Linked DNA regions of Solanum lycopersicum. Each later gene encodes a partner of the first gene's protein in a complex. Links are inferred from orthologs where the notes say so. Each region holds a gene or a part of one and is shown in the gene's direction. Other genes may lie near its edges.

What was found.
Region 2: NAD(P)H-quinone oxidoreductase subunit T, chloroplastic (region 1) and photosynthetic NDH subunit of lumenal location 5, chloroplastic share a complex: the UniProt entries of both Arabidopsis thaliana proteins name them as parts of the chloroplast NDH complex. The link is inferred for Solanum lycopersicum from reciprocal best matches to the Arabidopsis thaliana genes NdhT and Pnsl5.
Region 3: NAD(P)H-quinone oxidoreductase subunit T, chloroplastic (region 1) and photosynthetic NDH subunit of subcomplex B 1, chloroplastic share a complex: the UniProt entries of both Arabidopsis thaliana proteins name them as parts of the chloroplast NDH complex. The link is inferred for Solanum lycopersicum from reciprocal best matches to the Arabidopsis thaliana genes NdhT and PnsB1.
Region 4: NAD(P)H-quinone oxidoreductase subunit T, chloroplastic (region 1) and photosynthetic NDH subunit of lumenal location 2, chloroplastic share a complex: the UniProt entries of both Arabidopsis thaliana proteins name them as parts of the chloroplast NDH complex. The link is inferred for Solanum lycopersicum from reciprocal best matches to the Arabidopsis thaliana genes NdhT and PnsL2.
Region 5: NAD(P)H-quinone oxidoreductase subunit T, chloroplastic (region 1) and photosynthetic NDH subunit of subcomplex B 5, chloroplastic share a complex: the UniProt entries of both Arabidopsis thaliana proteins name them as parts of the chloroplast NDH complex. The link is inferred for Solanum lycopersicum from reciprocal best matches to the Arabidopsis thaliana genes NdhT and PnsB5.
Region 6: NAD(P)H-quinone oxidoreductase subunit T, chloroplastic (region 1) and NAD(P)H-quinone oxidoreductase subunit O, chloroplastic share a complex: the UniProt entries of both Arabidopsis thaliana proteins name them as parts of the chloroplast NDH complex. The link is inferred for Solanum lycopersicum from reciprocal best matches to the Arabidopsis thaliana genes NdhT and NdhO.
Region 7: NAD(P)H-quinone oxidoreductase subunit T, chloroplastic (region 1) and ORR share a complex: the UniProt entries of both Arabidopsis thaliana proteins name them as parts of the chloroplast NDH complex. The link is inferred for Solanum lycopersicum from reciprocal best matches to the Arabidopsis thaliana genes NdhT and NdhM.

Annotation. Positions count from the first base shown.
Region 1 is NC_090808.1:63,749,593-63,753,063, forward strand, and holds NAD(P)H-quinone oxidoreductase subunit T, chloroplastic, read left to right. Parts: upstream 1-1,448; 5' UTR 1,449-1,825; coding exon 1,826-2,217; intron 2,218-2,303; coding exon 2,304-2,724; 3' UTR 2,725-2,927; downstream 2,928-3,471. Other genes in the region: monothiol glutaredoxin-S2-like, read left to right, coding at 493-801; uncharacterized protein, read right to left, coding at 2,928-3,120. UniProt on the Arabidopsis thaliana protein: NDH shuttles electrons from NAD(P)H:plastoquinone, via FMN and iron-sulfur (Fe-S) centers, to quinones in the photosynthetic chain and possibly in a chloroplast respiratory chain.
Region 2 is NC_090800.1:5,016,467-5,020,619, forward strand, and holds the start of photosynthetic NDH subunit of lumenal location 5, chloroplastic, read left to right. Parts: upstream 1-1,353; 5' UTR 1,354-1,628; coding exon 1,629-1,652; intron 1,653-1,803; coding exon 1,804-1,992; intron 1,993-2,672; coding exon 2,673-2,823; intron 2,824-3,028; coding exon 3,029-3,117; intron 3,118-3,871; coding exon 3,872-3,926; intron 3,927-4,057; coding exon 4,058-4,143; intron 4,144-4,153. UniProt on the Arabidopsis thaliana protein: NDH shuttles electrons from NAD(P)H:plastoquinone, via FMN and iron-sulfur (Fe-S) centers, to quinones in the photosynthetic chain and possibly in a chloroplast respiratory chain.
Region 3 is NC_090802.1:62,985,699-62,989,703, reverse strand, and holds photosynthetic NDH subunit of subcomplex B 1, chloroplastic, read left to right. Parts: upstream 1-1,205; 5' UTR 1,206-1,329; coding exon 1,330-1,914; intron 1,915-2,374; coding exon 2,375-2,565; intron 2,566-2,703; coding exon 2,704-2,961; intron 2,962-3,114; coding exon 3,115-3,220; intron 3,221-3,474; coding exon 3,475-3,560; intron 3,561-3,656; coding exon 3,657-3,822; 3' UTR 3,823-3,956; downstream 3,957-4,005. UniProt on the Arabidopsis thaliana protein: NDH shuttles electrons from NAD(P)H:plastoquinone, via FMN and iron-sulfur (Fe-S) centers, to quinones in the photosynthetic chain and possibly in a chloroplast respiratory chain.
Region 4 is NC_090804.1:2,507,927-2,511,679, forward strand, and holds photosynthetic NDH subunit of lumenal location 2, chloroplastic, read left to right. Parts: upstream 1-1,248; 5' UTR 1,249-1,289; coding exon 1,290-1,772; intron 1,773-1,862; coding exon 1,863-1,961; 3' UTR 1,962-1,981; exon of another isoform or gene 1,982-2,076; intron 2,077-2,176; exon of another isoform or gene 2,177-2,315; coding exon of another isoform or gene 2,316-2,531; intron 2,532-2,624; coding exon of another isoform or gene 2,625-2,748; intron 2,749-2,839; coding exon of another isoform or gene 2,840-3,057; 3' UTR 3,058-3,253; downstream 3,254-3,753. Other genes in the region: casparian strip membrane protein 2, read right to left, coding at 2,316-2,531, 2,625-2,748, 2,840-3,057. UniProt on the Arabidopsis thaliana protein: NDH shuttles electrons from NAD(P)H:plastoquinone, via FMN and iron-sulfur (Fe-S) centers, to quinones in the photosynthetic chain and possibly in a chloroplast respiratory chain.
Region 5 is NC_090808.1:66,330,680-66,334,624, forward strand, and holds photosynthetic NDH subunit of subcomplex B 5, chloroplastic, read left to right. Parts: upstream 1-1,240; 5' UTR 1,241-1,333; coding exon 1,334-1,567; intron 1,568-1,905; coding exon 1,906-1,969; intron 1,970-2,249; coding exon 2,250-2,312; intron 2,313-2,808; coding exon 2,809-2,867; intron 2,868-2,973; coding exon 2,974-3,204; 3' UTR 3,205-3,445; downstream 3,446-3,945. UniProt on the Arabidopsis thaliana protein: NDH shuttles electrons from NAD(P)H:plastoquinone, via FMN and iron-sulfur (Fe-S) centers, to quinones in the photosynthetic chain and possibly in a chloroplast respiratory chain.
Region 6 is NC_090810.1:1,415,295-1,419,012, reverse strand, and holds NAD(P)H-quinone oxidoreductase subunit O, chloroplastic, read left to right. Parts: upstream 1-1,492; 5' UTR 1,493-1,589; coding exon 1,590-1,818; intron 1,819-1,882; coding exon 1,883-1,959; coding exon of another isoform or gene 1,960-1,991; intron 1,992-2,193; coding exon 2,194-2,259; intron 2,260-2,363; coding exon 2,364-2,405; intron 2,406-2,515; coding exon 2,516-2,575; intron 2,576-2,942; coding exon 2,943-2,972; 3' UTR 2,973-3,218; downstream 3,219-3,718. Other genes in the region: uncharacterized protein, read right to left, coding at 3,659-3,718. UniProt on the Arabidopsis thaliana protein: NDH shuttles electrons from NAD(P)H:plastoquinone, via FMN and iron-sulfur (Fe-S) centers, to quinones in the photosynthetic chain and possibly in a chloroplast respiratory chain.
Region 7 is NC_090803.1:56,432,396-56,435,395, reverse strand, and holds ORR (NAD(P)H-quinone oxidoreductase subunit M, chloroplastic), read left to right. Parts: upstream 1-1,483; 5' UTR 1,484-1,593; coding exon 1,594-2,046; intron 2,047-2,157; coding exon 2,158-2,340; 3' UTR 2,341-2,500; downstream 2,501-3,000. Other genes in the region: uncharacterized protein At1g21580, read left to right, coding at 337-810. UniProt on the Arabidopsis thaliana protein: NDH shuttles electrons from NAD(P)H:plastoquinone, via FMN and iron-sulfur (Fe-S) centers, to quinones in the photosynthetic chain and possibly in a chloroplast respiratory chain.

The DNA of each region.
Region 1 (3,471 bases):
ACACTCTTTACTAATATATTTATTTACTTTCGTTAAAAGTTATTTTTGAATTAGTGTATATACATGTTTTTAACCAAAAAAGAGATAATTTATTGATTGTAAAACCCATGTGTTTAATTAGAAGAAGAATTTATATTGGAACTTAATTGGAAAAAAAATATGTAGATATGTAACAAAGTTCACTTACTAGCCTCCATACTTTATGGTGGATTTTTTTTTTATATATATATTTTTGGTACACTTTTAAGACAGTATCAAGAACTTCTAATGCTATCTAACAGTATCAACTCCTTATCTAAAAAATTATTCCTTCCTTTAATTTATTTGGGTGGGGGGGGGGGGGGGGGGGGGGGTTTAGAGGAAGCATATTGAATCTTCACAAGTCACTATTAGTATATAAATAGCTTCAATAAGAGTTTCAAATTCATCATCAATTCAACAAGTTATCAATTCTCTTATATTACATTAATCTTTTTTTTTCATTAATTAAAAATGGAGTCATTGAAAAAAATGGTAGCTGAAAAGCCAGTGGTTATGTTTAGCAAAAGCAAGTGTTGTATGTGTCACACTATAAAGACACTTATATCAAGTTTTGGTGCTAATTTAACTGTATATGAATTGGATGAACTTCCCAATGGGCTACAAGTGGAGCGAGCTCTGCTGATGCTAGGCCGAAGGCCTAGCGTGCCAGCAGTGTTTATTGGACAAGAATTAATTGGCGGTGCCAATGAGATTATGAGTCTTCATCTAGAGGGAAATCTTGTTCCTCTACTCATGAAAGCTAAAGCTCTTTGGCTATAGTGTGTATATATATATATACACTTTTTTTTTTGCTTTACATATCTAGTATGCGAAATTTACTGGCATGATTAGTTCAGACTCACGCTAGTAAAACTACAATATATCATGTAGAAAGTGCATATTAACACCTTGTAAGTTTGGTTTTTCTTAATGTTTGTGGAATTGAGCATCTTTTATTTAGTATGCTCAATGAAAACTCTGTTTTCTCAAACAAGTGTCTTTTAATGTATCTTTAAGCATTGTAATAATAAATTATATACAATGCCATACTTCAACATGACTTGTCATTCTGTTTTAATTATTTTTGTTAGATGCTTGAGTATGAAGTTGTGTTTCCTCGAGATGTGAATCCAGGATTTAAAGTTTGTAAATTCGGAATCTATTCAAAAAAGTAAAATATGTGATATTTGTATAATGATCCTGCCTTGTGAATTGAAAGCAAGATAGATTTAAAAAGGGTTAAAAGAACAACTTGGCTCTCTTTTATTTGCCACAAAAAAGAAAATAAATTACATTGACCTCCACTTCAACAATTCAAAAAACAAGTTACGAGTTAGCTCATCCTATAAAATTAGTTTAAATATATGTCAGCTAACTTGAATATCATGATAATTATATAAAAAGGAAAATATAGAGACAAGGGGTGTGTTGCGTTCCGAACACTAACTCACAAACTCATTCTTTTTGCCACCCAACTCCCAAGGAGTATGATTGTATTTATAGGTGGCAATGAGCGGGTAAGACTGAATTTGTTCGGGTTAAAAATGAGCTGAGTTAATAAATAGACAGGTCATTGATCCGCCCAAAAGTTACTTGGACTGAAATGGACTAAAACGTGGATCATAACTCAACCTGTCCAACTTACTTTTATAATTTTTTTAGTACCTTAAAGAATGTATATAAATTGTCTTGAAGTTAAAGAGTACAAACGTCAAAAATCAAAATTATTGATATTTCACAAATGTAGACAAAAAAGCAAACAAAATGTTTAGTTATTTCCTCAACCACACAGAAAGACAAGGTGATGAGAAAGCCCCTCCCTCTAAGACTACTCAAATCAGACACAAAACAAATTTCCAATTCCATGGCGTCAGCAACAGCTCCACCAGCTCCATTCACCTTTCTTACAAGGAACCAAACCAATAATGAGCACAGAACAGATACCAGATGGTTGACAACAAAACAAAGAAGACGCCGTGTTGGCTTACAAGTTTATGCAAAAGAAGAAGGGGCTACTGGGCGACAACGTGCTCCTCCTGGTGTTGACACAAGAATTCACTGGGAAAACGAAGATGAAGGATGGGTAGGAGAGAGTAAGTCACGGTCCACACAAGAACGAATCAAAACAGACGAAAAGAATCTCTTTGATGAAAAATTCTCAGACCTCCTCAACAGTTCAGCTAATTCTCACTACCAGTTAGTCTTCATTATCTACTTTGCTATCTTCATCTTATCTCTTAATGTGTGGCTCACAGTTCATAATTCTAATGTTTCAAATTCAGGTTCTTGGGAGTATCTGCAACAGCTGATCTAGAGGAAATTAAAGCTGCATATAGGAGGCTATCAAAGGAGTATCATCCAGACACAACTAATCTTCCTATAAGAGCAGCATCAGAGAAATTTATGAAACTAAGAGAAATTTATGATGTCCTGAGTGATGAGGAACAACGGCGATTCTATGATTGGACACTAGCTCAGGAGACAGCAAGTCGAGAAGCAGAGAAAATGAAAATGAGGCTGCAAGATCCACGCATGCTGGAAGTAGAAAACTGGGAATCTGTTCCAGACATGGTGGATCGACTTGGTGGAAGGAACATGGAGCTGAGTAATCAGGCAAAAACTGCCCTCACATTTGATATCTTGATTATCATCTTTTCGTTTTGCTGCATTATATATGCAGTAGTCTTCAAGGAACAATATTAACAGGAACAACTATGTGCATTATACAACAACAATATTCTATACTGTCAATACGCAGTTCATACACTGCAATGACAATGGATTGGGAAACAGAACGACTAGAGCTTTAGTCATAAGTATAACTATAGTTTATTTCTATTGAGATTACAAATTTACACTATTGTCTTTTCATGAGATTATTGACAGCAAATGAAGAAACAATTCTCTCATACATCAATAAAATCTTTCATGATGGGGCTATGTTTCTCAATGTTAGCCTGCCTACGCCAATTACTCACTGCATGCTTAACGGTGTCACTGGCTTTCTGTATTTCCTCAGCAGAAAATTTGTGTTCCACAATGCCTAGTGGACCAGGTTGTAGTACCTTAACTACAGTTTCCATATCCAGCTCCAGTTGCCTGTTAAAACAAACACCAAAATAATGCTGAAAGACATGGAAATTCATATTCACAATTTGATCTTTGTGTCTCATTCTGGTCTAAAAGAGAATATTAGGAAAATCCAATTGAAGAGTGCTTTGAAGCGCACGTTCCTATCAATCTGCATTTAGATACCTACTCTTCAATCAATAAATAATAACAAAGAACAAGAAAACACCAACGGTCATGCTAATTGCTAAATAGAAACAAGAGTTTCTCGTTTCTTGATAACACAACTCCGTAATTCTCAAGAGTTTGATAACAACTCCGTAATTCTCAAGAGTTTGATAAGTTCTAAAATTTCACTTACTCTTCAAATATCAAATGAAT
Region 2 (4,153 bases), on another chromosome or scaffold:
GAACGCCACGTTTCTTGACAAAGTCAACCGGATCAACCCTAGAGCCTGACGATCCTTGAGTTTCCACTTCTCCTCCGTCATGGATTCCGGCTTCACCCCGGTCAACGGTTCGTGAAAATCTTTCTGGTACAGATAATCTTCGATCTGCATCTTCCAGAAACTGAAATCGGATCCATCAAACTTCTTGATTCCAAGCTTCGAACTATCCATCTTCTGTGATCGTGTTGAATCTCCTTAGCTCTGATACCAGTTGTTAGGATCGATTCACGCACACACACTAGATGATTGAAGAACACAAGAACTTTCAAGAGAAAGAGATGAGAAATCTAGAGAGAGAGAGAGAAAACTCAATATTTCGTGGTAAAACCCCGTGAGTAAACTTCTACGACGGTGAGGTATATTTATATTAATAAATCAGAGTATTTTTGGTTACAAAGAATAAATAGGAAAACCTAAAATTAATCAGGCTCCACTACCTAACACTTATTTACATAAGCTTGTACTCTTACCACAATCATAGTCTACTTGATACATTGTACTCTTTATAACATTATATATATATAGAAGGCTTCAACGTGGAGCTCATCATGGGAGAATATTATTATACACAGGTAATAGATGATTTCAAACTAAAATGTTCAATTTTATAAAAAATAAAAAGTAATATTGAAAAACAAAGGTAAAATGTCTTATTTTTGTTCGACTTCAATAACTAAAATATTAATATTATTTTGTCACACTTCAAATACATGTTCATTTTTTGGAGTTTTAGAAACTAAACCTAATGAATCCTTTTTTAGAAAACACGATTTTTGAACAAATAAAACAAAACTCACATCAAAATTGGGAGTACTCAAACATCAACTTCATTGAAAAATATATTGAGAAGACCTAGAATTTCATTCCTTTCTCGTCAGATTAAAAGAGGAGAAAACAAGAGGAGAAAAAGAAAATAAAAAAAATAAGTCAAGTTTAGAGTTTTCGAACTTTTAATGGCAAAGAAAAAACACAAAATTGAAAGTTTTTTTCATTTTATTTGTTTGGAAGATGAAGAGTCACATTCTAGATCTACAAATATAGAGAGAGTATTTGAATGTTTATTTAAAAAGAAGTGGAGTATATTTGATTGAGAGTGAAACGTAAAGTGGTCAATTTATATTTTTATTCATGTAGTACTAATTATTCAAGTATAACTTATTTCATCTCGAACTCGCATAAAATAATTCATGGATTGACTCATAACTTATACATGTATTACTTCAATAGTTTTCTAATTTTCTAATGAAACATAGAATTATGTGTGTTAAAACATTATATCTTGACATAAAAGAGCTATCAAATATAGTATAACTTATGTAACGTAACTCAATCCTTATCCAGTAACCAAACGATCTCGCACTTTAAACCATGGTAAAAATTAGGCTATTTCCTAATATTATACTCTAGTAACAACTTTTTTACCATTTGTAATGGATATGTTTACCTAATCGGTCTATACAAGAGGGTTGAGGCTCGTCATCTCCGTCACACACCATCTTTGTCCCTCATTTTCACCAACCACACACACTCTCTCTCTCTATCTCTATTGCAGTTCAACTCGCCGTACCGGAGAACTGAAATCGGCAACTATGGCAGCTACATTTGCTTCAGTGGTGAGTTTCTTTAACCTCTCAATAATTTGCAGTTGAGCTTTGTTGTTCAGTGTTGCCTTCTAATTTGTAGTAATAACACTAATTTTTGGAAATAGAGCGTTGTTGTTGTTGTTGTTGTTGTTTTAGTTGACTAACGTTTCTCCGTTTACAGTCGAATTTAGGCTCAATTTCAGTTCCACGAGTTGCGAACCCTACATATGCTGCTTATCCGAAGTTGCTGAAATCTTCATTCTCATCGTCAAGCTTATTTGGTGGTTCGTTGCGTCTGGACACTTCTTCAAACCGTTCGGTTCACAAAAAAACCGGCGGTTCATCTGGTTCTATTCAAGCCGCGGTGGAGGTCTGTGCTCGCTCGCTGAGCTAATTTATTAGTGATTGCTCTACTGTTTGTGTGTTTCTTCTTTGATTTCGCCGAAAATTTGATGATTGAGTCAATATGTCTAGCGTTGAGCTAGTAAATATGCGTTCTAGGGTTTCTGTGAGGAATAACTTTTCTGTTTAAGTTCTAGAGCTAAATGTAAGGGATAAGTAGATGAATACATTGGTTGCAGATGGCATGTGTGGCTGAGTGTTACTTCGTTGTCTCATTTTATGTGAGAATATGTTAAATTAGGTTTGTATATAGTATTGGTGATGCTAGAAGAAACTATGAACAACTTTTGGAAAAAAAGTTTATATCGAAGGTTGTGAAAAGAGAAATTTTAGTTCTTCATAATATTTGTGAGTGGAACAAGGACTTTTAATACTTACAACTTGTGAAATTGGTATAAAAATATAGAGATGTCAAATATGACCCAAAATGAGAAGACTGTCATATAATGCAGTGTTTTCTTTTGTTAAGTAGCAAAGTTAATTGTGGAAGCGGATTTTTAAGTCTTGGAGCATTGATTAGAATGGCTGTGGTTCAGTTTTCAGCAAACATGGTGTTATGTTGCCTTTTGTATGGGACTAATGTTCCATAATTTGTTCATTACTTGGTTGAAGTTTTTAATAGATCTGAATGTATTTATTGAAATCCAGGTGGCGGATTTGCAATCCAAAGTGACAAACAAAGTTTATTTTGATATTAGCATTGGGAATCCTGTTGGAAAACTTGCTGGGCGAATTGTAATTGGATTATATGGTGATGATGTGCCACAGACAGCTGAAAATTTCCGTGCACTCTGCACAGGTTCTTTAATAGATTTTATGTTATTAATATTATTGTCGTCGATATTCTTATGACTAGTGCTGCTATCACTACTACCTTTATTGCAGTTTTTGTTCTCATTATCATTATTGCTATAATATTCTGCCTTGTTGCTTGAGCTTCATGCATATAATTCTTTCTATCATTTATGTTTAGCTTATAGTTTGGATTGATTTCTTCCGATCAGGTGAGAAGGGCTTTGGCTTCAAGGATTCTGCATTTCACCGTGTTATTAAAGATTTCATGATTCAAGGGGGTGATTTCGACAAGGGAAATGTAGGTGTCTCAACACCTGGTTTGCTTTCTCTTTCTTTCTTTTTTTTTTCTATTTGTTCCTCTAATTGGCATTCTTCTTGACACACACATCCTTCACCCAGTTCATTGTATTTTCTGTAGTACACTTGGTGTGTTTTGGGTGCTTATCTTTTAGCCTTTTATTTTGCTTGTTTCACCTTGAGCAAGATTTTAAATTAACAGAAATGCAAAATTCTGAATTAGTTCTTTGCCTAGTGTTTTCTTGTTCCTGTTTGGTGGTTTATCCTTCATCTTTTGGATCCTCCATGGCTCCAATTTCTACCATGGAAAACCAGAGAAGAAAAGGTTGTTTTTCAGTTTGTTTCGGTTCTGTGTTTGTGAGACTTCCCTGATGCTTGTAGCAACGTAAGATCTCTGTATTCTAAATTATCAATTTTCATGGTATAAACTTTTTTTCAAAAATAAGTAATGAACTTGCATGATGTAACTTTGCTTGTTCTATGTTTCTGAATGGGATGTCTTCTTTGATTAGTAGTTGAATGTGTGAAAGAGTACATGAGCTAAGATGCTCAGTGGAATATGTACTACTGCCATATTCAATAATTCTGTTTAAGTGGAATGTGTTATTGCACACAACTTGACTGCTCCAATATTTAATATGCATAGATTGATTGAAGAGTGTTCTAGTGTTTGCAGTTCATAATTTGGAAAATTTTCACTTGCCATTCTGGCATATTGTAATCTTCCCCCCATGGATTTAATTTTTTATTCGCAGGGAACCGGTGGTAAAAGCATATATGGTCGTACCTTCAAGGATGAAAACTTCAAGTGTAAGTTGGATTTTCTTCTTAAAAATTGGTTTCAAACTTCTCCTTGTGGTTAAGGCAATGGACCCCTTTGGTTCAGATTGTCAATTGTGTTCAATGTTCTTTTGTGATGAAAAATCCTTGTGTAATTGCAGTGGTTCATACCGGACCTGGGATTGTTAGCATGGCTAATGCAGGGCCTAATACCAACGGAAGCCAATTCTTCATTTGCACTGTAAAGGTATGTGGAA
Region 3 (4,005 bases), on another chromosome or scaffold:
TGACATATCAAAGCTAGTTTAGTGAATAAAACAAAGCCTAAGAATTTACTTTTTTTTTCTCTTTTATGATCTCATTATCTCTTTTTCTATATATAATAATATTTTGTTTTTTCCTTTTGATCTCATTAATTGACTCTGTTTATAATCTTTACTTTTTTGACTTAATTGTTACACAATTTTGTGAAGTTCCTTTCCTTTTTCATGCATCTTTTTTTCTTCTTGATTGCATATTAAGCAATCGTTTTTAGGATAACTGTACTTGATTCTCCCTATGATGGAACAACAATATACATAATTTGTTATTTGCTAGCACTTTGTATTTTAATTAACACAAGTAGTATAACTCACGATTCTGACAACATAGATAGGATTTCTCCGTCTCAGACAGTAATGGAGCTAAAATTTTATCTAAGGGGTGTCAAAATCTAAAAAAATAAAATTATGTAAAAGCTAAGGAATATCAATATGTAATATATATATATATATATATATATATATTAAACCTAACTCAATTCAAAAAGCTAATTCAGGGCGATGTTTTTGAAAACGTTTTGGGGCGAGTTTCAGGGAGGGCCATATCGAAAATGCTCCAGGGCGTAAATGAAAGAAGTAAATTCATAAGGTGTAAGTCTTGAGCATAAAAAACGTAAGTTCTGGGCGTAAAACGTATATAGTGACGTTTTAATTTATTATTTAAAACTTTTTTTACTTTAAATTATATTTTTACTATTGGTGTAATAATATTTTTCAAATAGTAATTATAATATATTTTTCTTCATTATTGATTATTAATATTTATTGCAAATAAGAATTATAATCATTGAAAGATTTATTTTTATTTATTTTATTAGTAATAAAATTATAATATTAAATATACATGAGACTAAGCCTAGTAGACCCATGGGGCTTACGCCCCGTGTTCAGGGATTTACTCCTCGCCCTATACGATATAAATCACCTCACTTTTTAAAATATTGATTCAGAATACGAAAGAAATTCTAGTAAAAATTATTTTCTCTTTAAAATCAAATTTATGCAATTTAAATTAGTTAGATTATCAATATGGCTACCATACACTCGATTGAAAACAAAAACAAAAAATACTTTTTCATTCGTCATAATTTATATGATATTATTTAATTTAATATAAAATACAAATGATAGACATAAATTGAGACAAAAAATCGCTAATGACGAGGCAGGAACATAGTGACAACAATGGGGACCTACTTATCTCACTACCTTCACACATTGAAATCCAACGTCACCTTCTGCTATAGTTTTTAGCTATCCCCAAAAAAAGTTGCAGAATTTTATGATAACACTCAAATGGCTGCCTCTACTACTCTACTATCTAACTCCATTTCTCCTTTCTTTGCTAATCCACCTAATTTTCCTGTAACCCATGTCACAAATGTACCTTTCTTGAACCACAATCCATCTTTTCCCGCCAGAAAATCAGGGAATTTTTGCCTCAATGCCAAGAAAAAAAATCCATGGCTTGACCCTTTTGACTATGGTGATGATCCTGAAATGGAATATGGTTCACTTTTTTCTGAAGGGAAACAAGATGAAGATCCAAGGCCACCTGATAATCCTGATAACCCATATGGATTTCTCAAATTCCCAATGGGATACTCTGTTGAGATTGCTTCGTTGGGTTTGAAAATTAGAGGTGATGTTCGGAGATGTTGTTGTGTTATTGATGGTGGGGTTTATGAGAATTTGCTGTTCTTTCCAGTAATTCAGATGATTAAGGATAGGTACCCTGGTGTTCAAGTGGATATACTTGCAACAGCCAGGGGAAAACAGACATTTGAGATGAATAAAAATGTGAGGTGGGCTAATGCCTATGATCTGGATGATGATTTTCCTGAACCAGCTGAGTATACGGATATGCTTGGAATTCTTAAGGTTTCATGCCGTTCCATTAACATTAACATCGATTCATAATTATTTAAATTCTACGTTGCTTGGACTCTTCAAAAATGTTGATTTTAAAGTGCATTACTTTTGGAAGTATCCGACACACATTAATCTACGAGCAACATAGGTTTAAGCAAGTTGTTTCATTTGAAGTATGATTCTTGTCGTGCCTTGATGTATTAGCACCTAAAATTAGAGAAAGTAACAAACATTATATGGAAACTTAGTTAAATACGAAGATTTAACTATGGTTATCTTATGAGTTTGCAGATAATTCAAAAGTTGAGCAGACTACGTTTGGAAAAAGAATCGCTTAGATTAGCTTCAAGATGCTGTTCGTCTTGTTTAGTCAGATAGAGATAAAAGAATTTGCTTCCTGCATTATGAATAGAGAGTTATAGTCATTTTTTGGGCTAAGTTATTTGCTTTAATGCATGGTTTGTTGCAGAGTAGGTACTATGATATGATCTTGTCAACCAAACTGGCAGGGATTGGACATGCAGTATTTTTGTTTATGTCGACTGCTCGTGACAGAGTTAGCTACATTTACCCAAATGTGAATTCTGCAGGAGCAGGATTGTTTCTGTCAGAAACTTTTACACCAGAAAGCATGAACCTCTCCGAGGGCGGATATCATATGTAAGTAGATGTTCCAACTGATAACTTGATCTTTTTGACTACTGAATATTCATTTCAAAATAGGGAGTTTGAAAAGTGCAACAGTTGTACTTCGTCAAAGTTTGTATAAACATGTTTACATACACTTTTTTGAAATAGGTACCGTCAGATGGTTGATTGGTTGGGCAGACCAGCTCGTAAAGTACCTCGACAACCTTTACCCCCACTTAAAGTTTCAATCTCAAGAAAGGTTAGGGAGGTTGTAGAGGCAAAATATAAGAATGTTGGTGCACAGAAAGGCAAATATATTGTGATTCATGGGATTAAATCAGATTCAAAAGCTTCTATGCAGTCAAGGGGTGATATTGATAGCTTGCTCCCTATTGAGATTTGGGCTGAGATAGCAGAGGAGATAAGGTATAATGTCAGTATTTTATTCTCTGTCGGAAAAAGGGCCGACTCGACTACATGGTCATTTTTAGTTCTCGAATTAGCTGATTAGCCTTTTTTCATCAAATGCAAGAAAATTTGTGAGCTATACTAATGGTTTGTAAACTATCATTTGATCAGGGGAGTCAAGCCAGTTTTTGTCATTCCACACGAAAAAGAAAGAGAAAATGTGGAAGATGCAGTTGGTTACGATGCTAGTATAGTGTTCATAACCACCCCTGGACAGGTTTGTTTTCTCAACCACTTTCACAATATCAATGACCGATGATCAACCAGTGTTTAGTTGAACAACCATAAAAGAAGAAATTGGTTGGAGTCACAGATATAATGGCAACAATTTACAGTCATATTCAAGGAGGGTATAATCAAATGAAAGTAGTTTGCTTCTGTTGCATGTTTAGTGGCAGCTTTAACTATAGTCTATATACCGCGGGATGAGCACTAGAAAACTAACAGTCCCTGCATATTTCTCTGCCTTAGCTTGCTGCTCTTGTTGATGACTCTGCTGGAGTGATAGCTACAAATACAGCTGCGATACAACTTGCTCACGCACGTGGAAAACCAAGGTAATGTCATCTACTACAAGCTGTAGACGCGGAAATTTTTTGCACCTTCTGCTGTCTTTGTGGGGAGGTTGATATATCTTGGTTTTGTCTGTACAGTATTGGGCTATTCTGCTCTGAGGATAAGGCCAGAAGTTTTGTTCCCAATGCAGAAGCAAAGAAATGTGCAACTATTTCATCAAATACTGGAAAATTGGTTGATATTGATGTTGAAGCTGTGAAGAGTGCTGTTCAAATTTTCACCATGCCCCTAGCAATCTTCTAAATATTATACATCCTCCAGTTCTCTTACATATAGTAATTAAGTATTCCTGTAATTGTTACTAGTTCCATTTTCTTCTCAATTGTAATTAATAGAAGCGGAAATATATATATTCGTTCTTTTTTCTCAACAGAAAAGGAATATGGAGATATGTTATTTATCAATGTGACACTTTAGGACATTCTG
Region 4 (3,753 bases), on another chromosome or scaffold:
TATTTTCAAGATGTATTTTTACGCATGTCATAATTCAACGAGTAGCATTATTACTAATTTATAAGTACTTATTTTTTCGCTTAAAGTTTGATCAAGTATTTTTTGTATTTAAAATATTTAATCAAACAAACTATTAACGACCCTTATACTAATAGGGATTACAAAAGAATTCTAATTATTTCTTTTTTTCAGTTAAGTTATAATTCGTTTATATAATTTTATCATCCCAATCCATTCATTTCTCATCTATTATTTTTTGTAAATTAAAGGTGTTGCTTTAATTTGTAAAGCAATTATTATTAGTCCAACTATGTGGGAGCTAGAGACATTAGATATTTTAGCTGTAAAGCAATTATTCATGCACAATCAATAATGTATTATTTTTGCCTAAATTGCTTTATATCTCTTTATTTATGAAGATAATTTATTGATGATTTGATTTGTTATATCAAAAACTAAATAACATGTATTTCATAATTTTAAAGAAGATATAATTTGTTCACAAAAATACTCTCCAGTCATTATAACAAAAATAATCATTAATTGTCGTTAAATATGTATTTTTAGCGGCAATTGACACTCTTTGTATATGTCCATAAAATATTTAGCAACATTGGTTCTAATGATACTTAACTAATGCCGGTAAAGACTTTCGCACTCTTTATCAATGTCAATATTTAATGCCGCCAAAAATTATTTTTGTTGTAGTGTAGAAAAATAACATCATAGACTTCAAGGGTGTTTCTGTCAGTTTCATTATTTTATTTTGGGATAACTAATCCTGATACCATTACTCTGCTCTATGACGGTGATAACTTATTTCAGGAGTGTATAGTTGAAAAATTCAGCATAATTTAAATGGTTTTTAGTGTCTAATCTCAATGTTGAACTCAAATTTGTTTTGATACGAGAATTGAATGCCTCAAGGGAAAAACATAAGAAATTTGTTCGATTGATAGAAGATTGATCCCAACCCGTCAATGAAATAGGGCTACTAGTGTTCAGTCTTGATTGATTCCGAAAAAATGCGAACCAAGTAAAACTAGTTTCAAATTGAACAAGGCCAACCCTAAGTTAAACAAATTCCAAAATTGGGCCAACTAGAACAAAGCCTCTTACACCATTGACCCAACAACACCAAAATTTATTGGGAAAAAAAGAGGATAAAATATTTGCCAAGTCACCAAAACCTAAGGTCCATTTTGGATTTAGGGAAATCAATTAATATCCATCCAAAACACACACAAAAACCATCAAACACTCCTTAGATTTTTTTTTTCAACACAAAAATGACCACTTTCACAAATCCTACAACTTTGTTCCATCCAAAAACCAAAATAACCAAAACTCATCACACACAATGCAAGACACTACCCAAAATCCAATCTAACTTATCAACTAATGAACAAAACTTCTCATGTAGACGCAAACTCATCGCGACTTTTCTAGTCACTCCATTGACACTAGGCCTACAATTCACCCCTTTAGCATTAGCTGAAAATTGGGGCGTTCGATCATTCTTAAGAGAACATTTCTTTGAGCCTGGATTGTCCCCTGAAGATGCAGTAGCACGAATTCGTCAAACAGCAGATGGACTACATAGTATTAAAGAGATGTTGGAGACTAACTCATGGAGGTATGTATTGTTTTATATACGACTTAAATCAGCTTATCTTAAACAGGACGTGAAGAATGCCTTATCCAGGGTGCCTGAAAGTCGAAAAGAGTCTTATATTAAAACTGTCAATGAGCTTACTGATAACATGGCTGAGGTAACTAACTGTCCTTATTTTCCCTGTTCAGAATTTTTCGAGGTTCTATTCAGTGTTATGGATATTTCTATGTATTTTCTTCGTCTGCAGTTTGATTACTACATTCGAACACCAAAGGTATATGAATCTCGTGTATTCTATGAGAAGACGTTGAAATCAATTGATGAATTGGTGGGATTACTTGCATAATAATATCATCAGGCTCAAAGGTGAGTGAATGTTGTAGCAGAAAAATCGCGTTGGTTTAACAAATAAACTGATCGAAAAACGTTGAAATTATATACAATTTTATGTTCATTTATAAGCTTGGTCTGCGAGTTGATGAAATTGGAATCAAGATTACATACGAGTTTATGAGAGAATAACTATTAGTTGAATAAACGTGATATTTGAAGATGAAAACATTGAAGTAAGGAGGAAATCTTTTCATTATGTGATACAACTGATGAAAATCTTGATACAATGAAATGCAACTGATGAAACTAACATTTACAAACACAATACACACACAAAGGCTAGCAATTGCTAGTGTAGCCAACATCTTCAGCGCCTTGATAAAGCGATAGATGACAAAATTATAAGTATAACCATCAAGGCCATTGCACCAAAAGAACCGATAAGGGATCCAGCAGAACGTTGACAGAAATCTGTATACTGTTGGCATATCGAAAACCAGTTAGTTGAAGTGTTGCCATTGTGTGCCAAATACACAATCGCGGCTGCTGCTGATGCTCCAGATGTGAGGAAAACCAGCATTATCTTCAAAAGTTTTCGCAAAGTATAAAAGATATCAGTACAACATCATAACAAAGTACTAAATATGAAAACTTTAGCAGAAATCTAATGTATTACCGCGTCTAGAACAATGAGCAAAACTCTGCTCTTTCCTGCTCTACTTCTGATAATGTGAAAGATTGAAATAGTGATAGAAAGTGCAAGATATACACAAACTATAGAATTCGAAACCACGAAGAACCTTCAATCAGAATAAGCAAAACAAAAAAATGTGTTAGTTAACCTTTATACTGTTCTATTTCATGTAATAATATGTTTGCAGTTTTGCTTACTTGAACGAGTCGATATCATCATACTGAGCTTCAAAATTTACAATCTGTGTACTGAATGGAAGTGCTTGATCTGCAGTACCCATTGCCACAGCACTTGCTAAGGTTCCAACAAGTGCAACGATACGTAAAACAAGATCAAATACAGAGATTCCTCTGTTCACTCCATGAACTCTTTTGGCCTTTGATCCCTCTCCAGTTTCAATTGATACTGCCTTCATTTTTTCCTTTTAGCTCAAACTTTGAAACTAGAATGAAATTTTGTTGTTATGATTTGTATGTCAAGTGTGATGCGAATTTATACTAACAAGTGAACCAAATCATGTAACAGAGTTACAAATAGTATTAGGTTTTGATGACACATAATTAGTTGTTGCTTTTGCTTATTTAATCAATGAAATGTACAACTTTCTGGTTCATGATATTCCATAAAGTAGTTAAGTCTTGCATTAACTTGCTACACTTTTTACCTGCTCTACTTTCTTCCTAACATGTATTTTGAAAATGTATTTTTTCTCGAGAAAATGTATCATTATATACGAGAAATCGCGATATTAAAACAGCACACGACACGTTGCAATCCATTTGAGAAGGGTAGTATGTATGCATACGTCACTTTTAACTTTATGGAATTGAGAGGTTGTTCCCGATAAAAACTTCAACATTCTTTGTCCTATCTTTTTTTTCTTTTTTAATGTTTTGCAAACACACTTTATGATCATTGATTTATTATATTAGGTCAATTGATAATATACTAATAACAATGGTTATGGTCCTAAATGGTTTTTTGGATTAGGCACAAAGTTCTACTTGAACATAAGAATCAAACATGAGAAATTAGAATACTAGAAAGTAAAATAATGAATAGGTTGACTTTTTGATTAACAATGAGAAATAAAATAAAGAACAAGTTTATG
Region 5 (3,945 bases), about 2.6 Mb from region 1:
TAAAAGAAAGATACAGTATACGTACAGTTGCTTAATAATTAAAGGAAAAATTATATAAAATATCAAATTATTAATTCAAATTAATGTTATAATCATACTTTGATTTAATTGTAACTCGTAGCAAACAATTGTCATTCACCTCTCTCCCCGACGAATTTCGCTTGCCACTCTCCCAGGTCTTGCTCGTCACTCTCCCTCGTCTCACTCACTTTATACAAAAGGCAAATGAATAAATTGTGTTTGTATTTGTATAAAGCGGGAGAAAATTATATGTACACATACATATAATTTCGTCATATACACTTATAATTATACAAATACAGATTTCCTCTACAAGTTCTCTTTTGTCATTCTCTCTTTCTCGCTTTATATAAACACAAATTACAATGTATACTTTGTGTTATATAACTCGAGAGAGAGAGCGATTTGATATACAAATGTTTTATTTCGATACATTGTATACAAATTCAAATTTTATGCAGATATACAAACACATAAAATTGAATTTAGAGGTTGTCAACGATTTATACAAACGAGAGGCTGCCAATGATTTAATGTACCATAGCAAGTATAAAATTTGGTATGGGCCGCAATTATACAAACTATAGTTATAGTATACAAATATGATTTTTTATGTTTGCTAAACCTAAACTTACTTATAATTAAATAGTTTCCTATTGAAATAATTATTTCTGTATGAATGTCGTCGATATTTTCCTCCTTTTTTCTCCCTTATTTTTGTCATAAGTTGGAAAAAAATTTAAAATTTTGAAATATTGGTGAAAATATTTTTTTAAAATAGTTTTAAAATAATTTTTATAATGGTAAGCAAAAAAAAAATCTGGTTTATGGCTAAGAGAGGCTAATTTATTTTGTTTAAAGCATTTTGAATAATCTCATTTAAATAGACATTTACGTTCTCCAATTCTGGATATGTACAATTACAAGCAGACATATAAATATGTATATAATTAAACAAGTAGACACATCCTATGTGACATCGTACGTGACAATTTGCATCCTATATAATGTCCTACGTGCATTATATCACGTAGTACGTCTGTTTATGTTTGTTCAATGTTATATAAATTTAAGTGTTGATTTATCTACAATCAAAGTTGAAAGACATAGATGTCAGATGAAATCAAGTTAAAAGGGGTCGGAAATTGTGGTAACACAATAAGAGACTAAATAGATATTAAAAAAAAAATATAAAACCATAATATATAATAGCCTTATCCACGTATAGCCTTAACCATTCAAAATATATGGATAATAAAGTTAGAAAACATAGAGTAAACAAGCAAGAACAGAGCAACACTACTCAACAACAATGGAGAATTCTTTAACACTTTCACTACTCTCCACAATTCCAGTTCCCAATTCAGTATTCTCAACAAAATGGAGTGTTCTTTTTCGAGGAAATCCATGTTCGATTTCCTCGAAAATTGGTACAAAATGTGGTGGATTTAGATCATCAACAAGATTGTATGCAGGACTAACAGAGATAGAACCAGATATCAACGAAGATCCTGTTGATCGATGGAGAACTAATGGCATTGACATTGTAATGTTTCTTTTCTTTTCTTCGTTGTTTTTAAATAATTGTAGTGTTTGAGTAAGTTTAATATCTTTCATCAACATAGATATCGAATAATTTTGATATAATACAAAATGTCCTTTTAACTTGGCTTTTTTTAACTGACAAATGTATCTATTTTTTCAATTTTATATAAGTCTCTATTTGTGTACATCGAAAATAAGAGGATATAGATGTAACTGAAACAAAATTGAAGGGCATATTTATATATTTATGTAATAATTTTTTTTTTATTGAAATTTTGACGGATTTATTTTAAGGCAGACGCATGTTAACTAATTTTATTTTATTTTAATTTGTTGCAGGAAGATTATGTTTTTGGAAAATACGATGATCATCATACGTACTTTGAAAGTGAAGATAAAAAAGGTACATAACAATATGTGTGTGTTTTTTTCGATTTAATTTGTAATTTGAATTGAAAAATATCTAAATTTGTCCAATGTATTATTATATGAATTCGATCAAGTTAGTCTTCGTTCGACTTTTCGTTTAATAAATCGTTTCATATTTGTCCAACGTGAAATTGGTGAACTCCACGTGTTCAAATTCTTCGAAAAACACAATATTTGAGTAGCTATTTTTACAAAAATAGGTAAATGTATTTATACTTAAACTATACTTAATTCTATATCACTTGCATTTTCAGTATCATTTTGGGGATCCATAGCAGAAGATTATGCTGCTATTGCACCCCCAACAGGATTTCAAGGTATGTAACAAATTACCATAATAATATGATCATTAACTTAGTCATTTACTTTTCGCACTTTGACTAATTTCACGAAATACTTTCCATCAGCAACAAGTATCAGCTAACTCTATCCATCTACCAACACCGATTGTGGTTCACTGGTGGGAGTGTTTCACTCTTAACCACAGGTCTCGGGTTTGAGTATTGGATATGATCTATTGAGAAAATCATGTTGGGAGCGTCACCCTCAAATATAGGACCTGCAATGTGCGATTCGAATTTAGTCGTAATTCCAATGTAAGCTCCGGACATCGGGTGGAAAAAAAAAACTCTATTCATCCACAGTGGATAAGACAAATGAAAGGATCACCTAGAATTTTTCTTCTCTCGCTGAGAATTGAACGTGATGAGACCTCGTGACTCTTAACCAGTTCATTGACCACTAGGGCACACCCTTGAGTGCTTCTTTAGTTATTTACTTAAAATAACTTATTTTTCTGGTGTTCGACAATAGGTATCATTTCATGGCTGTTTCCTCCAGCAATAGTTGCAGGAATGTACTTCAATGTTCCTGTAAGTTAATGACTAAATCTCTACTATATTACACATTTTTCGAGGCTCGAAAACACCCGTTTCCAGCAACTAAAAGTCTTGTATTTTCACTTCTTTGACAATGCAGGGGGAGTATTTGTACATTGGAGCAGCTGTGTTTACAATTGTGTTCTGTATCATTGAGATGGACAAACCAAGTGAAGCACACAATTTCGAGCCTCAAATATATAACATGGAGAGAGGTGCGCGAGATAAGTTAATATCGGATTATAACACAATGGACATTTGGGAATTCAACGAAAAATATGGTGATTTATGGGATTTTACTGTTAAGAAGGACGATATCATGAAACGATAGAAATAAAAAAGAACAACGAATTCATATGTTCTGAATATATCATTAAGGTATCTAAATGAATCGCGTAATGATCATTGGATTTCATCGATTACTCGAAGATGCATATGATCTGGTGTTGTTCCATGGTTGTACTATATGTTTCTTAACTACATTGAGATGAAAAAAAAACTCTAATGAACTCCCTAGCTGAAGAATTACACTGTATATATAAGGTCAAAGTTATATATTTCTTATTAGTATATGTCAAATCCCTTTATCAATTCTTTATATTTTGAATTTCCTTAATAAAAATTCTGATTGCGCTACTGCGATGAGAGTTGTATAAATCAAAGTACATAGGATGTTTAAAGTTACATTAAGAAGGAACTTAAGAGTTGAAAAGTTTGATTGAATGATGAGTGATAACTAACATGATTTGGCTTTTTTTTCTAATATTTTTTATGAATGTTCTGATATTGCTTGTTGTATGTGTAAATATACCTACTGAATTAGCTCTATGTACTACTTCCGTTCCAATTTAAGCGACACTTTTTGAATTTCGAGATTCAAACAAGTCTATCTTTGATCGTAAATTTTTATATATATCTTTTAATTATTTTGAATTGTCAATTATTACGACTTATATTACTTTTAACGTAGTTTACAAATATATAAATTTAAATTTTGAAAAATATTAAAGATTGTACGTGCAAATTTTCGATCATACTTAAACTATTTGACTCTGAAAAATGAAAAATATCA
Region 6 (3,718 bases), on another chromosome or scaffold:
TATGTTCTTCTCGCGAAGAAAAATTGTGAATTTTCAAGTTCAAACGAGCCCCAAAGAAGGCAAAGGCAAATTTTACCAATTTTTATGTGTTATATTTTTCATCAGAAATTTCCAAACAATGGCTGAAATTACTCATGGAAGTCCGTTAAGACCTTAAAATGGAATCAATTTGTCCTGCATGGAAAAATTGTGCATTTTCAAGTTTAAACGAACCCTAAAATAGATAAAGACATATCTTATCGATTTTTGTGTGCATAGCCCATGAATTTTTTTAAATCCAAAAATTTCCAAACAATATGGCCAAAATTTTTCATGGCGTCCGTAAAGAGCTAAGGAATGAAACGAGTTCATCCCGCGGGGAAAAATGATGTATTTTATAATTCAAACGAGCCCCTAAGAAGGCAAAGGTAGTTTTTATCGATTTTAGTGTGTTATAGCCCATAATATTTTTTATCCATAAATCCTAAAACAAAATGACCGCATATTTAATAGACGACCATTAAGACCTTAAAATGGAACCACTTCGTCCTGCGGGGAAAAAAGACACATTTTCAAGTTTAAACAAATTCCAAAGCAGACAAAGACAAATTTTATCAAATTTCTTGCTCTGGGGTTCAGTTGAACTTGAAAATGCACGATTTTTCCCTGCGGGACGAACTGGTTCAATTTATATGGTTTTAACGGATGTCAAAAGAATTTGGCCATTTTTTTATATTCCCGAATCAAAAAGAAAATCATGTGATATAACACATAAAAATTGGTAAAATATGTCTTTGCCTGCTTTGGGCACGTTTGAACTTAAAAATGCATCATTTTTCTCCACGAGACGAGCTAGTTTTATTTCTAAGTTTTTAAAGGACGTCCATGAAAAAATTCGACCATTTTGTTTTGAATTTTTGGGTAAAAATAATTTATGGGTTATGTCATACGAAAATCGATAAAATCTGTTTTTTACCTACTTGTAAACAAAAATTGAAAAAAATGAGGGTTTACCTGCTCTGGATCGTTTGACCTTCAAAATGGGGTGTTTTGATCGTGGTGACTAACTGACTCCATTGATAAGATCTTAACAATCATCCATGTTAATTCAGAAAATATGACGTCAGAGTTCTTATTCACCAAAAATTTCATAGACTATAGCACAGAACACTCGACAAAATTGGGGGTTTACCTACTCTAAACTCGTTTAACCTTGAAAATGGGTCCTTTTTAGCTGTAGTGGCCAATATGCCCCATAGATAAGGTTTTAACTATGTTAATTTTCGGCAAATAACGTTAAAATTCTGGATCACTAAAAAGATGGTTTGACCTTTAAAATGGTCGTTTTGACCGTGACAACCAATTGGCTCCATAGATAAAAGTTCTAACGGACGTCCACAGTAATTTTCAACAAAAATGACATCGAAATTCAGTATTCAAACTCGAAATCCTTAACCGAGAATAGAGTAATCCCATTTATTAGCAGACTAATTTTTGTTATTCAAATCTGGCCGTTGAAGAAGGGGGAAAAAGGGCATGCCCTTATCTACTTATATTGGCCACAACTAAACTAGTTATATCTCCAAAAAAAAAAAAAAAAAACTATAGAGATGGCTTTCTCTGCTGCATTTTCACACACCTCCTTCATATATTCATCATCTTTTTCACAAACAAGAAAAAATAGGATTAATTATAGCCCTTTTGTTATTAAAGCAGAAAATAGTTCATCTGAACCACAAGAAAATAATGAGAAGCCAAAATCTCAAGCAGCAGCAGCAACAACAACTTCTTCTAGTACAACAGCCACCGCAACAAAGCCTAAAAAACCGGTTTATTCTAGTGAGTAGTACTATTTCATGAAAATGTCTCAAATTTCACTAATTTTTTGTTTATAGAAGTTTAGCTTTTTTGTTTTGGTTGGCAGTGAAGAAAGGTCAGATAGTCAGGGTGGAAAAGGAGAAGTATCTGAATAGCATCAATGTGAGTTTTGTTTTTTTTTGCTACTTCACGAGGTAATGATAAGGTTTATGTACACTCTACCTTCTCAGACCTATTTAGTGGGACTTCTTTAATAAAGATATATATACTATAATTTTTTACCAATCAGCATTGTATCCTCTACATGCTTATGAATGATGATAATAATCTGAATTGGAAGTTGTGGACACCCTTGCACTGGAATTTGACTGTATATTTTTGTATAAATTTCTTCAGTATTTGTCTGTTGATCATCCACCTTATTACAAAGGTCTGGACTACATATATGAAGACCGTGGTGAGGTACCATTTTCTTATTTCTCTATAGATCATGTCAAAAGGGATAACAAAATACAATTTGGAACAACATGTTATTTATAAAATAAACTAATCATATATCTGTTTAGGTATTGGATATTCGTATATTCGAGACAGGAGAATATGCACTTGTAAGTATATTTTTTTCGAAATTCAATTTATTATATCAAAACACACCTCGAAACATAAATTTCACTGAATATATAAAGAGATCAAAGTTGAGAGTTTACCTATGCTGCAGATTGGATGGATCGGAATACCAACTGCACCAGCTTGGCTTCCAACAGAGATGCTAATTAAGGTAATTAGCCTTTTGAAATCATTCAAAATACTAAAGCAGCAATTTGCATCATTTCATGAGTACCTTTTATGGTACACTATTAAAAAAACCTCCTTGCACTTCAAATGAGAATCTCTGGTGAAAATTATTTTGGACAAACTCATAGCAATTAACTGCACGGAGGTTTGGGGAATGGACCGGTGGGTTGCTTATATGAACTTAAGCAATCCTCCCAAGTATCCGGAATGGACTGGTGGTTTGCTTATATGAACTTAAGCAATCCTCCCAAGTATCGTATCTTTATTTGATGATACAGTTTCCACCTTGCTAAAAAGCAAGTGGTCTGTTGCGTAATCACACATTCCCTAACCAATAACAAATTTTGCAGTCTGATAAGCTGGATTACGAGAGAATATAGTGGCGAGTCCACAGTTACAGACCAGTACATGCCAGACGAGTAAATCAAAGTGGAGCATCAGATTGACCGCTGCTCATCAGAGATGAAGAGAGATGAGATGGACACACCTCCAGAATTTACTTATTGCTAAATATATTATTATTCCTTAAAGATCACTCAATCAGCTTCTCAGTTGACACTAAATAATCGTTAAATTGATTCTTAAGAAGCTTAATATAACAATCCTGGACTATTCAGTAGGTAAAAGACAGCTTCCAGTAACAATCAAGAGACGTTCTAGATCAACTGAAATATAAATAAACAGCAACATACCCAATGTAATCCCACAAGTGGGGTCTGGGAAGGATAGAACTGAAATATGATATCAGTTAAACACAAAATACCTTCCATATTGAATAGAATGGAGTCGGTTTATAAATGAATATCGAAATGTACGTCTCAATGTACCATTAATTTTTTCATAAAATTATAGTGTACACACAATATACAGTAGGCAGGTAACTGGAAAGTCTCAGTGTACAGCAGCCTGTAAAAAGGGAAGGTGAAGAACAGGTGGTATGGAGTATAAGTTATCTGTATTTTTTTCTGTAAACAATGCTGTACTTGGTATCAATATCTGAAAGCGATGAGGGTGGAGAATGAAATGAAGAAATTAATGAAGAAATGATGCCAGGAAAAATCAGAACTTACAGCCTTCTCCTAGCACGCTTAGTAGCATTCATAAGCTCTGTCAACGAAGCAAGGGG
Region 7 (3,000 bases), on another chromosome or scaffold:
TTTGGTTGATTCCTGGTTCCTGGACAAGCTTGTCCCTATCCCAAACTTGTTATAACTGATGAGGCTAGTCTCCACACTTCCCCATGAATGAAGTAGTGGGGACCCTTACCTCTTCTTGTTTGCCATTTTTTGTTTTTGGAATGACTTCCTTGATATAGCTATATTTTCAACCGGTGATTTTGCCAAGTATTTTTACCTATTATGTCACCTCTTTCTCTGAATGCAACTATTTCAGTATTATTTTAATATGTTCTTTACAATAGATGTAGATCATCACAAACACACAACACTCTAATCTTGAAACTTGTGAAATGGGTCATATTTCTAAACATGCAGTGTCAGAAGAAACACACCTATGTCTGCCCCGTTTTTGAAGCAACTGGCAACTGTCCCAAAGGTTCAAACTGCAAGCTTCACCATCCGAAGAACAGAAGGAAGGGAGCGAAAAGGAAAGCTTTGAGCGAGTTAAAGAATGGTCGAGGTCGTTACTTTGGCTCTCCGCACATTCATATTTCTGAGTGCATAACAGCTGGATCAGAGAAGCCTTCTGTCAAGGGGAATAATGACATATTCCTTGAAGGGAAGTTTGTCGATTTTATTAGCCTAGATGGTAGTGACGAAGAGGAACAGACTATTGATCAGAGAAGCGAGGAAAAGCCACTTTGCGAGAGTGGTCCAGCAGAGATGCAACTGGATGATCTCGATGAGCTTATTAAGCCCGTGCGTCTGATAAATAGGAATAGGTCTGTAGGTTCATCTCCCTATATAGATAGCCCAAGTGATATGACCACAAGCTATGTATCAGAGTAGCCTCACCATTGTAAATGAGGTTGTGTAATTAGGTTTATGTAGTGTTCTGCTAGTGCAGAGCAATTTTTTTTCTTTTTATTGTTAGGCTTTTAGTTAATTACTTAGGTATAGGTCTTAGGATTAGGCATATTTTTTGTTTCGCAAAATCTGTTGTGTGAGATAGAACAAGAAAACTGTTGTTATAGTGAGAGAATTAAAGGAAATGAAAATCTTATCCCCTATGTACAAGTCTTTATTGGAAGCTGTTTGACTTTTGTTCTTTAACAATTTTCAAGTCAATCTGAACTCTCTTATTGAGTCTTTATCACAGGTGATAATGAACCTGTAGATTCAATCAGCTGGTGTTATGTTTATTTTACTTTTGACAGGTAAGCATTCTTTTTTTGTAGTGATGAATACACGGATAAAAAAGATTGTTTTTAATAGATCCACCACCATACGAACTTCTGAACTTAAATTTTTTGGTTTTGTCTATATAAGTGAAACGCCCTGCATACTTATCTTTCATGGCTCGGATTCACTAATTAACCAAACCTTTAAACCTGGTTTAACAGGGATAAAAACGAAAGTAATTTAAGTACCTCAAAGTGAGTAATTTGTAATTAACCTTTTATTAAGCACAGCCACAGAACAAAAAAAATATAAGATAATAAAAAGAAGCCATATGTAAGCAAACATTTCCTATCCACACAAAAAGGAGGATATATTAATATCCCAATACCAACATTCAAGAAAAGGCCATAAAAATCACACATAACAAAACACTAGGAGAAAGGGGGAAACATGGCAGCAACTTCAACATACATGGCTTCAACCCATTTCAGCATGTTAAGTTGGAGCACAAAGGGAAAGAATAAACAACTCAAAAGGAGAAACTTCTTCTCAGTTTCAGCACAGCAAGCAGAAGTTGAAGAGTTAAAACTAAAAAAAGAGGAAGAAAAGAAAGAAGAAGAAAAACAAGAAGAGGGGGCAATGAAGAAGCCAAGGCCAGTAGAACCACAAATAAATGTGCAGAGCAAGAACATGACCAGAGAACATGGAGGACAATGGCTCAGTAGTGCTACTAGACATGTTCGAATATATGCAGCTTATATTGATCCCGAAACCTTTGCTTTCGATCAAACACAAATGGATAAACTCACACTCCTTCTTGACCCTACTGATGAATTTGTGTGGACTGATGATACTTGTACCAAAGTCTATTCTTACTTCCAAGAACTTGTTGATCATTATGAGGTAATGAAAACTTCTCTTCATCAATACAAGCTTAATCATGCAATCACTCTTGTACCAAATGGATTAGAAATAGAAATGCTAACTCCAATAACTTTTTATGATCTGGACCAGGGAGCTCCATTGACGGAGTACACGCTTCGCCTGATAGGTTCAGACATAGAGCACTACATAAGAAAACTTCTCTATAATGGAGAAATCCAATACAACATGAATGCAAGAGTTCTTAACTTCAGTATGGGGAAACCAAGAGTTGGGTTCAATTACAATGGACAAATGGAAGATGTAAACCAGTAAATTCAGGTAACAATGTTGACTATATTGAAACAATGAGTAGCAAAAAATGCAGTTGTAACAATGTATAAGAAACTTTCACCTTCTCTGTCTGTTTTGAGAACTTTTCCCAAATGGATTATACACAATACAAATGTTATCTACCTAATCATTGGTGGCAAAAGGGTATTTTATACTGTGGTTTTCATATTCCTAATCATCTAAGCATTGTATCAATACCCCCAATCAAAATTGCAATAGCTTCAAATTTGTTTGAGATTTCCTATATCTACACCACTCCATATATTTAAGCTTACCTCATCTATATTCAACCTACTTTATTATAAAATTATTCGTTTTTTTCCACAAAAATTTTAAAATAATATGTAAAACTTACTAGACTTTAAAACTAACACACTATATTATCTTACATACAAGATTATGTAAGAACAACTATTGATAATGTAAAAAAAAATGAAAATTATTACATCTTATAATTTAATCTTAATAACATAAGTATAAATTAATGATTGTAAAAATATATACTAGAATCTGTAACATAAACAATGGTGGCAGTGAGTCACTAACCGGAGCAATGTACACAAATATTTAATTGTGAAAAAGAAGAAGAAGAGAGACAGAATTTTCGTTCTTTTAAAAGGAGAGAAAATCCCTCTATTTATA